Linked DNA regions of Danio rerio. The protein of the gene in region 1 interacts with the protein of each later gene in a pairwise test. Links are inferred from orthologs where the notes say so. Each region holds a gene or a part of one and is shown on either strand. Other genes may lie near its edges.

Region 1 (3,280 bases):
ATCTTGATCTTTTTCTAACGCATTTCTAAATTAAAGGAAACTTTAATTCCGACTGATAAAACTCAGCATCACCGGAGAACAACTTCAGACAATTGCGTATGCTGCAAAACTCACAACACAAGAATTAACAACACTTTGCATCGTCCAGAGAATTTGTCAATTACAGACACTATTTCCCGAAAGATTTAACAGATTCACTAGTAATGCATCCCCTAAATATATTGCACTATTTCCTTCGGTTCTTGAGGTAGACATTTTGACAAGTGGTTTACAAGTTCAAACTAAGACGCGCGTAAAAGTGCAGCATTTGTTATTACTGTGCACAAAAATGCACAAGCCACTTCTTTCTATCCAGGTGCTTGACAAAGTGCCCAAGACAATTAACAGTTATTTCACATTAACATAAATAGTGCACAGATAAACAATGAGTGATCAAAATGGTCGAGTTAGAAACGGTTGGTCGCTAAAACACTCTTCCACTTATGTTAAAACATGATGTACAAATAACCATAAGACAAGTCACAAACAATTTTGCATTATTGTTTACAATTTGAAAGAACAAATGTGAAAGCTGTTTAATTAGAGGAGTATGCCTCAACAGTTGGTGAAGGAGAGGGCGTGGATGGTGCAGAGGGCGACTTTTCAGATGCATCCTCTGTTTTTTCGAGACCATCTTTCTGTTCGGACAAAGATTTCGGCAAAAGACCTTCCTTTTCGCGCTTCTTTTGTTTCATACGGCGATTTTGAAACCATATCTTCACCTGAGTCTCATTCAATTGGAGAGAAGCCGCGATCTCCACGCGCCTTGCGCGAGTCAAGTACTTATTGAAATGAAACTCCTTTTCAAGCTCTGTCAGCTGTTTTGTCGAAAAATTGGTGCGTACAGTGTTTGGCTGCCCACCAAATCCATACTCCCCAGCTTTTCCTTAAGAGAGAGAATGAAAAGAAGAATAAATGAATGTGTGTATGCATACTAGGCTATATTGTTATGTCAAGTCCCATATCTTAGGTTTCTTCAGATGTTTATGTAACCAGTGTTGGACATGCAATATTAAGTCAGGACTTGTATTCCGTATCGGGAGAAAAAATAATTACGACTTGTAAAATTTAAGTCACTCACCTGTTTTTGGCGGGTTGCGTTTAACCTTCATCCAGTCAAATGTCTGTCCCGTGGGCACGCCATCTGATAGAGGTGAACAACAAGCATCATGATGAGGCACATGCAGAGGGGAAAGCGGATTTGAGCAGCCCGCCACAAACGTAAGGTTTGCCTGATCCGAACTATTACCATATGTGGCTGAGCCGTACTGGAACTGGCCATGGAGGTGAACGTTTCCGCTACTGTAACCATGACGATGATGACGGTGCTGCACAACAGTGGAAGAAATATTTCCAGAGTAAACTAACGGGCCACACTGGGGAAAGCTCACAGACGATTCCACGTCCTGATTTAGGGCATAGTGATTGTATCCAGTGCAAAAACTTTGAGTTCCATAACTTGGATGGGCGCTGTAGGTAATTGACAAAGTCCCGGGGGACTGGTACGAGCCGGCCTGTTGTGGCTGAGAGTTAATTACATCTTGTGACGATATATTGGACATGAACCGTTCATCTCCACTGCAGCTATTTAACCTAACAGCACACGACGATTGGAATGTTGAAAGTCCGTGATCACCGTGGAACGCCCTGACTGAGCACGAGCCCCCGCTACCTCCATCTCCACCACCACTTATGGACGAAAAATCTAAGAATGTGCTCATTGTGTCATCTTCTTGGGCGTCTCAGCTCGTGGTTGCCACACTGACAGAACTTTGGGCCCGGAACTGATTAACGTCGCACCATTCACCCTGGGTTGAGCCGAGGCACCCTTCTGCCTCCTTCAATCAGTCGTGGATTGGAGGTGTTCGGGCGCTAGTGATATGAATGACCAGTGACAGTCACGTGGGCTGGGTCAGCCAGTGATCAGTTGTGCTGTCTCATCTTGATCTTAAGTGGCCTTGCACTGACAGGTTGTCGTTAAAGACCAGGCTTATGCAAATGCCGACCTCTTGTCCATCAACGTTACGTAGGCCCACCTTTACTTCTGCTGAAAGGATAGATTCGCTGGCAGATACGCTAAGAGGGACGTTGTCTCACAGACAGCGTCCCGGCAGCATCAGCTTCTCGGTGTGTGGATTTTTTTTAAAGAAATGCTTCAGGTAAGATGATCTCAAAACCACAAAGAAATTATGTAAAGTTAGTATCTTTTTCTGGTTCACAATTCGGGTAGCAATATCCTATCAGCTATAGGCTCTAGTGTATCGGCTTTCGTCAACTTAGTAAGTGTATAAAAATGATAAACTGACTACCACTCATCGTATTGTTATTTTTTCGGTGTAGCCAGCACAGTTATATTTGTTGTTTTTTAATACGTTAGGCTTAGCTACTTGATAAAAACATTGGCTGTAGCCCACTGTATATTTATTACTGCTATAAGCTATTTAGCCTATGTCTATGTATGCTAACTGTCAACATTAAGCAGCAAGGAACTAAGGACTTGGAACTTACTTGGAACTAAGAACTTACATGTTGAAATAAATACATTAGCGGGATTTCTGTTTTTGCTGAATGCTATTTTGTGATTAGTATTCACAGACTGATCAATAATCACAGGGAAGACGATGTATTTTATCCACAATCCTATGTGGAGCAGAGGAGACACGCGCCCCCTCTGGAGGAAATTGGACATTTTTATACCTTTTTTCTTTTTTCAAAATGGCGCTTTACACAAGCTTACTACGGCCTAGTATTTCTTATGCCACTATTTTTTTTACAGCAACAAGCCTGACAAATAAGGCAAGAAAAAATAACAGCATAAATATAAAGTGTAATGTACTTAAATGAAATGGAGTCATAGTTTATAAAAACTGTAGAACCACTTAGTGGCCAAATGTTCACTCTGTTAGATGTGGGGAAAAATATCTAAAAATAAAAACTATTGTAGTTGATTAAATATTTGTTTATTCATACGAAAAAAAGCATTTTAAAACATCTTCAATAAAGACATTATAAACATTTGTAACGTTATTTCAATCAGGACAAAAAGCAAAAAGACTAAGACAAATTGGGGAGGACGTGCAGTGAAATATGTTGTATGAGTGTTTTGTGTAATCCTAATGACGGGGTGTAAAACGCCAATAAAAAGATTAATTATTATTATCCGTCCACGTGGGTTGCGCTGAATCCAAAATCGTTATATTGATAAGCGGTGAATGAAATACGTATTTGGGCAGATTTTCAC
Region 2 (4,165 bases), about 520 kb from region 1:
AACCTTTGACTCTACAGGGCAAGAGGACAGGCCTTTCTTTTGGCAACTCCTCATAGTCTGTGCGATGCTGTTTATACCTGAGAATAAAACAGAAACAACGAAGATTATTTTATGTATGCGTGTGTTCATCAGTGTGATTCTAGTAATACCTGTGTGTACAGAAGCAAGTTGTCTCAGGTCCAATAACTTTGCAATCTATCTGTCCCGGTGTTCCGGAGAATTCAGTTCCCCTGTTCCCCCATTCACAGCGCATGCGCAACTTACGGCTGATTCCATGTACGCAAATCATGACGTCATGAATTCACTTCGCGAACTGAAACAGTTCATGGTTGTTTTGCTGTATTTTCGTAAGCCCAGTGTTTATTTTGTCACAGAGTTTATAAAATTTTGTAATTATTTGCATAGACACACGTGTCTATGGTATTGTTCCTGTTTTTAGCACGCGTTCGCTTGTTTCTTTCAAACAGTTTGCCTTGTCGAAAAAAATAAACCATACTACACTGCACAAATTATAGTGTGTTTTATTTCAGATAAATCACAGTGATACTTGTGTCGTTTTGAAAGACATATTTACGTAGCTTGTCATGTATCTTCAGAAAGTGACTTTACATTAAAAACACAGGAGTACGGATTTTCCCGAAGCAGAGGAAATTGTGTTACCTTCTGAGGATTGGAAAACACAATATACAATGCCTTTTTAACATCAGATTTAAATCTAACAATTTTGTTATACTAAAAAAAAAACATAAGTAGGCGTAAATTAAAAGGATGATACATTAAATTAGTTTACTATTTGAATATTTATATATTTATTATATACATAAACTAGCAAAAAAAGCTAAAATCTTTTAAAACGAACCAACCAAAAATTTGTGCACATTTTCAAGTGTTTAAAGCAAGCTAAGCAATGATATTCTTCATTATAGGCTGTACAATATATCTTATCAGCATTAATATTGCAATGTGCCCATCTGCAGTAGTCACATCTGCAATGTTGAACAGCACAGGAGTTCAGAGTACATGTGATTTGTGGAGTAGCTGCAGATTTTAACCAAAATTAAATAAAAAAAGTATTATTTGCATGTGATTTCAAAAAGTTTAATACATTCAGGCACAAGAAATTATAACTTTTATATCTTAAACAAATATTAATTGTACTTATTTTTTTATATAAAGAAGACTAGTGTTATTTTACATTTGATTATTCAATTTCTGTACTGAATGCTCCAAAAAAAAAAAAAAAAAAAAACACACTGTTTATCTCAGCAGTTTTGTCTTTGCCCTGTTTTTATATGCTTGTAAATTGTTTTATGCATGATTCAACCAGTCCCCTACAAAATCATGCCAATCAATGTAAAATAATGAATTATTTTCTAACAGAGCTATTTAACCAATCTGGTGAAATTGTATTTATATCACAATATATAAGGCAGACCAACGAAATATTGCAATATTAGTTTTATTTTGTTTTTTCAATATCGCACAGCCCTATTCTGCCAACACATGACTGGTGATCAATCACAGGCAATCTGAAAGATCATGCAGGGTAATTACCCACAATTGCCTCATCATTAAAATAATGTTTAACAGCTTTTGTCAATTTAACAAGAACCAAAGGTACAAAAATTGTTAAAAATAAAAAAGTACCCATTTACCCAAGCAGGTGAATGCATATGGTCATTGTGTAGTCCACAAAAATAACATAAATCACTGTAAATACACTTATCTGAACATATAAGAGTTTAGACATAATTATACCATTAAAAAAATGTCACCAGCATCATTGTAGTGCCTTTCAAACCCACAAAAGGTAATATATAGGAGTTAACACTTCTTTGGGCAATGTAAAAAATTCCCATGCCTTTTCAATGGTAACACCCCTTTATAGATAGTAAAAAAGTAAAAAAAAAAAAAAAAAAAATTTGAGCCTATCTTTTATCTGTTTTCTGTGCTGTATCCATAATTGTTGTTTAAAAGCCCTTTCTGCAGATGAAAACTGTTGGAGACAATTATTAGATTAAAAAGACGTCATTGTATTGTTGTTTTGTTTTTTAATCCAGGAAACTTCCATTGCTTACAGAAAATCTATTCTCTTGTGTTTTCATATGCAGATAAGTGACAAATATTTGCATTAACAGTCTATGCAATTTTTAAACATTACAAGCATCATTGTGACTTACCTAAAACAAGAGACACTAATTTTGCAGTGCTATTTTTCTCGACAAGGCTTATTTGAAAGACAATGCTTGTTTGAAAGAAAAACACGCACATCACGCACACATTAACAACAAAACAATTAATGAGTGCATGCAAAAATTACAATTACTAAATATAATAAAAAATGTTTAATGCAACCAACATTAGGCTTGTTAATACAGCAAAACCAACACGATTTTTATTAATTTTTATTTTCAAAACCAACACGAATTGATTCACTAGCGAAGCGAAAGCATGACGTCATTACTGAGAATTAGCGCATGCGCTGTGAAGGGGGGAACAGGGGGAACTGAATTCTCCGGAACACCTGGACGCCAAAACTGACATAAAGGCGGTTCTGTATTCTTCCTGGCACCACTGTCTCTTTGTATTTCTTGTACTCGTCCTCCGAAAACAGCCTTCCTCCATCATCTTCCCCAACAATCCTTTGCAAAGAATAAAGATCGTTGAAAAATAATTACAAAGTCATCTTTAGAAAAAAAAAATTCAGGATTTTTACAAACAAACTCACCTTTTGTATTCTAAATAAGCCTCCACTGAATTGGCTGCGAGTTTGTCGATGTGAATCTTTGCCATTTTACTAACTTATGAGTCTATTTTGCTGTTTTATCTGTTGACATAAACAATTGTTGAAAATGCTGCGGCTTGTTTGGACTTTGCGTCTGTGTTTCTAGGCAACGATCAGTCGTCGCCGTTCTCCTTACGTACTTTAAATTTATATCAAGAACAAAACTCTATAAATACGTGGAAAAACTCGAATTTAGAATACTCACTTCATATTCTGAACGATTTAATTGCGTCCTAGCTAAACTTGAATATACGAACTACATTTCCCATACTGCCTACAAATTTTACGTGAGCGCGTGATAGAAAGTGAGTGATCAGACTCAATCAGAATCGGTTCAAAAACTATTTTACAAACGATTCAGTGATTCTATGTTGCTGTGTTTGTTGTGCTTTGGAACATCAAATATTTTGTGTCCTTAAAATCTTCTAATTAAAACGTAGCCATATAAAATGTCGAAACTCTCTAAATTTCTATACTGCTTCACGTTTTAATATAAATGACGTGAATTGCTACCCCATAAACAATATTTGGTATTAACAGTCAGTTAGTGCATTCAATCTACATCCTCCTTATAACATAACTTTGCTCTTTAAATAACATTATTTTTGATAAACTCGAATAATATATTTAAGTTAATACGCATATTTCAAGATTCTTTATTCGCATTTCGGTCAAATGATGTGTGAACGGATTCTGTTCGTTCAGTGTACTAAAGAACTGTTCAGTTCTGTTCAGTTTAACTCAAAAGAATCAATTTTGGGAATTGGTTCATTCGAAAGATTCGACTCGAAAGAGCAGTTCATTCACAAACCGGACATCCCTAGGGTAACGTGACGTCTCACGCAATAACGTCTTGTTACGCAGGGAAATACTGAAGATTTTTCAGTATAACGTGTGGTTCTCAGTTTCGCTACATTATGCGGCTTCGAATGCTGCTCCAGTATTTATTTAAATGCGCTTTAGATGTAAAACGATTCGTGTCTTAGTTGATACAGAGACGCCTTTCTTGGAGTTATGATCATGTTTGAATATTGTTTTAATATTACAGATTGTCAACGCAAGCTTGCTGTGGTTGCTTTCTGAACGGTCTAAGATGACAACAGTTTTGGAGTCAACTAATCTGTCACCTTGACCAATACATTGAAGGTAAATTCTGTTTTAGCTACATTACTGGAGCGGCTTCATCTGGCTGCTCCAGCTGTTTAATGCTTTTCACACCCGGCCTTGTCTTAAAGCGATAAGCATGTTCAGTAGTTAAACAGTCGATTTCGTTTAGCTGATTAACAGTCTGCAGACTTGGAGTGAAAAACATAAACCGAAACTGAGTACATGCATGGCATGAAGCTATATTTGCGTGTTCTGCTTGCCCAATGTACTAGA
Region 3 (4,086 bases), on another chromosome or scaffold:
ATCCATCCATTAATCAATCAAATGTTCCATCCATCTAACCATCTCATTTGTTCCATCCATCCATCTGTTTGTTATTTGTTCCATCCATTTATTCTATCCATTAATCCATCTATCTGTCATTTATTTCATCCATATATTTGTTCTATCCATTCATCCATCATATGCTCCATCCATCCATCTTTCTATCATTTGTTCCATCCATCCATCCATCCATCCATCATTTGTTCAATCCAACCATCTATTTATCCATCAACCCGTCATTTGTTCCATCCATCCATCATTCTATCCATCCATCCACCCATCCATCCATCCGTTGTTTGTTCCATCCATCCAACCATCTATTTATCCTTCCATCCATCCATCCGTCAATTGTTTCATTCATTCATTCAACCGTCTATTTATCCATCCATCCATCATTTCTTCCATACATCATTGTTCTAAATATCCATCCATCATTTCTTCCATCCATCCATTGTTTTATCCATCCATCTATCCTTCCATCAATGCATCCGTCATTTGTTCCATCCATCCATCATTTGTTCCATCTATCCATCAAGGGACTCGAACCAGCAAGCTTCTTGCTGTGAGGCGATCGTGTTACCCACTGCGCCACCATGACGCAATTTATTATATATTTAAAACAATAAATTGAAGGGCATCCACTGTGTAAAGCAAATGCTGGATAAGCTGGCGGTTCATTCCGCTGTGGCACCCATGATGGAAAAAAAAGGATTACATCGAAGCAAGATGAATGAATGAATTGAAAAATGAAATAAACAAGGGAACTTGGGCTTCGCAAAACTACAAGCTACAGTACTAATCATGGCTATTGATTTTATTTCATTAAAGCTAATGTTTAACAGTGTTATTAAAACAACTAACTGAAACATGGCTGCAACATGATCTAAATACAACAATTATTAAATCAATATCACTAAAATAACTTTCCCACTGGCTGACAGTCAATAAGATACTGATTTATTGTACATATACATCCCTTTTCAGTTAATTTTATAATAGCGCTTAAATGTTTTTACATGTTTTCAATAGTATTTCCTACTTCCTTAACTTGTTGGACACAACTTTTGTGTATTTTAGACTCTCAAACACCTAAAGCACAAGCTTTTAAAGCTAAATAATACACAACATTAAAATACAGTTGAAGTCAGAATTATTAGCCCCCTTTGAATTTTTTTATTTTAATAAATAATGACAGAATTTATGAGTGAACCATCCCTTTAAAGCCAAAACACAGTCTTAAAAACACAATAGAAGATATTTTGAAGAAAGCCAAAAAACTTGTAACTATTGGCTTCCATAGTAGTGAAAACAAATACTATGTAAGTCAATGGTTACCGGTTTCCAACATTCTTTGAAATATCTTTTCTTGCCTTCAACAGATGAAAGAAACTCATAAAGGTCTGAAAAGAGTAAACCGTGAGTGAATAATGACAGAATTTATGAGTGACCTATGCCTTTAAAGCCAAAACACACAGCCTTCAAATGCAATAGAAGATATTTTGAAGCAAAACCTGTAACCATTGACTTCCATAGTAAAATAAAAATACAAATACAATGGAAGTCAATGGTTACAGGTTTTTTAACATTCTTCAAAGTATCTTCTTCTGCCTTCAACAGAAAAATAATCATAAAAGTCTAAAGCAAATAAACAGTTAGGAAATAATGACAGAACTTATGAGTGAACTATCCCTTTAAACCCAAAACACAGCCTTCAAACGCAAAATAAGATATTTTTAAAAGCAAGCAGAAAAACTGTAACCATTGACTTCCACAGTAAAACAAAAATACAAATACAATGAAAATCAATAGTTACCGGTTTTCAACATTCTTTGAAATATCTTTTTTTGTTCTAAGCCAAAAACATGCAACCATTGACTTTCAGAGTGAAGCAAAAATACAAATACAATGGAAGTCAATGGTTACAGGTTTCCAACATTCTTCAAAATATCTTCTTTTGCCTTCAACAGAAAAAAAACTCATAAAAGCCTAAAGCTAGTAAACCGTGAGTAAATAATGACAGAATTAATAAGTGACATATCCCTTTAATCCCAAAATAATGCAGCCTTCGAACGCAAAAGAAGATATTTTTAAAAGCAAGCAGAAAACCTGTAACCATTGACTTCCAGAGTAAAACAAAAATACAAACACGATGGAAATTGTTAACAGTTTCCAAAATTCTTCAAAATATTTTCTTTTGTCGTAAGCCAAAAACCTGTAACCATTGACTTCCATAGTAAAGCAAAAATACAAAAACAATGGAAGCCAATGGTTACCGGTTTCCAACATTCTTTGAAATATCTTCTTTCACCTTCAACAGAGGAAAAAAACTCTTAAAGGTCTGAAACGGTGAATAAAAAATGACCGAATGAACATTTTTGGGTGAACTATCCCTTTAAACCCGAAACACGGTTTCCAACATTCTTTGAAATATCTTCTTTTGCGCTTTACATTTACATTTCTGAGTGAACTATCCCTTTAAAGCCAAAACACGCAGCCTTCTCCATTCACAAACACACGCACATGGAGTGACGTATAAGGACACAAACGCTCCTTGCGGTACTCACAGGCGCTCCGTGGTTTTGGGGATGTTTCGCGGGACGCTTTTAAAGGCAAGTCCATGGCAGTCCACAGTGGATCCGGTGCAGGAGCAGTGAGGAGGACAGGCTCCAGAGCGTCCCGAGAGGAACAGAGACAGCAGCAGAGCCCAAATCCACAGTCCAGAGCTGGGACGCGAGCGCTCGGTGTCCGGCATCTCCAAAAGCCCACAGCGGACACTGCGGGACACACATAAACTGCAGGACAGGAGAGGACGCAGGAGATCTCTGTCCTGTGTGTGTGTGTTTGTGTGCTCTTTGTGCCGTGGTTCCCCTTCTCCAGGGTAAAGCTGTGTGTATGTGTGTAGGAGAGAGAGAGAGAGAGAGAGGGAGGCTGGATCTCCCACACGTGTGCTCTCTCTCTCTCTCATTCACAGAGAGGGAAAATCATCCATCACTACATCTGAACATCACTGATCTGACTCCTCCCCTCAGCACACACACACACACACACACACACACACGCACACACGCACACACAGAGAGAGGGGACACACACACAGAGAAAGAAAAGCACACACACAGAGAACACACATGCAGATACACATACACACTCATCTACTGTATACACACACAGAGACAAATACACACAACTCACACACACACACACACACACACACACATGCATACAGACAAACCACAAACACTCACAGAAAGAGGAACAAACACACACTTTCAAATCACTCACACACACACACACACACACACACAGACACACACACACACACACAGACACACAGAAAGAAATACACACAACTCACTCACACATACACACACACACAGAAACAAATACACACAACTCACTCACACACACACACACACACACAGACATACAGAAACAAATACACACAACTCACTCACACATACACACACACACACACACACACACACACACAGACACACAGAAACAAATACACACAACTCACTCACACATACACACACACACACACAGACATACAGAAACAAATACACGCAACTCACTCACACATACACACACACACACACACACACACACACACACACACACAGAAACAAATACACACAACTCACTCACACACACACACACACACACACACACATGCATACAGAAACACCATAAACACTCACAGAAAGAGGAACAAACACACACTTTCAAATCACTCACTCTCACACACACACACACACACACACACACACATACACAGAGACAAATGCACACAACTCACACACACCACACACATTCACAGAAAGAGAAACACACACAGACACACACTCACATATACACACACAGAAACAAATACACACTAACAACTCACTCACACACACACACACACACACAGGAAGAGAAAAACACACAGAGACACAAAGACACTTACAACTTACTCACACACACATGCACACAGACACAACACACACACTCAGAGGAAGAGTAAAAAACACACACACACACACTCACAAATACACAGGGACAAATGCACACAACTCACACACA

The links.
Region 2: the proteins of hoxa1a (region 1) and fam221a interact in binary tests that used the Homo sapiens proteins (3 or more experiments, as listed by UniProt). The link is inferred for Danio rerio from reciprocal best matches to the Homo sapiens genes HOXA1 and FAM221A.
Region 3: the proteins of hoxa1a (region 1) and slit1b interact in binary tests that used the Homo sapiens proteins (3 or more experiments, as listed by UniProt). The link is inferred for Danio rerio from reciprocal best matches to the Homo sapiens genes HOXA1 and SLIT1.

What each region holds. Positions count from the first base shown.
Region 1 is NC_133194.1:22,044,283-22,047,562, reverse strand, and holds hoxa1a (homeobox protein Hox-A1a), read right to left. Parts: upstream 1,857-3,280; 5' UTR 1,761-1,856; coding exon 1,121-1,760; intron 926-1,120; coding exon 576-925; 3' UTR 554-575; downstream 1-553. UniProt on the Homo sapiens protein: Sequence-specific transcription factor. Regulates multiple developmental processes including brainstem, inner and outer ear, abducens nerve and cardiovascular development and morphogenesis as well as cognition and behavior.
Region 2 is NC_133194.1:22,559,608-22,563,772, forward strand, and holds the start of fam221a (protein FAM221A), read right to left. Parts: upstream 2,869-4,165; 5' UTR 2,794-2,868; coding exon 2,729-2,793; intron 2,643-2,728; coding exon 2,528-2,642; coding exon of another isoform or gene 2,527-2,527; intron 209-2,526; coding exon 150-208; intron 78-149; coding exon 1-77.
Region 3 is NC_133197.1:36,949,796-36,953,881, forward strand, and holds the start of slit1b (slit homolog 1b), read right to left. Parts: upstream 2,897-4,086; 5' UTR 2,774-2,896; coding exon 2,586-2,773; intron 1-2,585. UniProt on the Homo sapiens protein: Thought to act as molecular guidance cue in cellular migration, and function appears to be mediated by interaction with roundabout homolog receptors.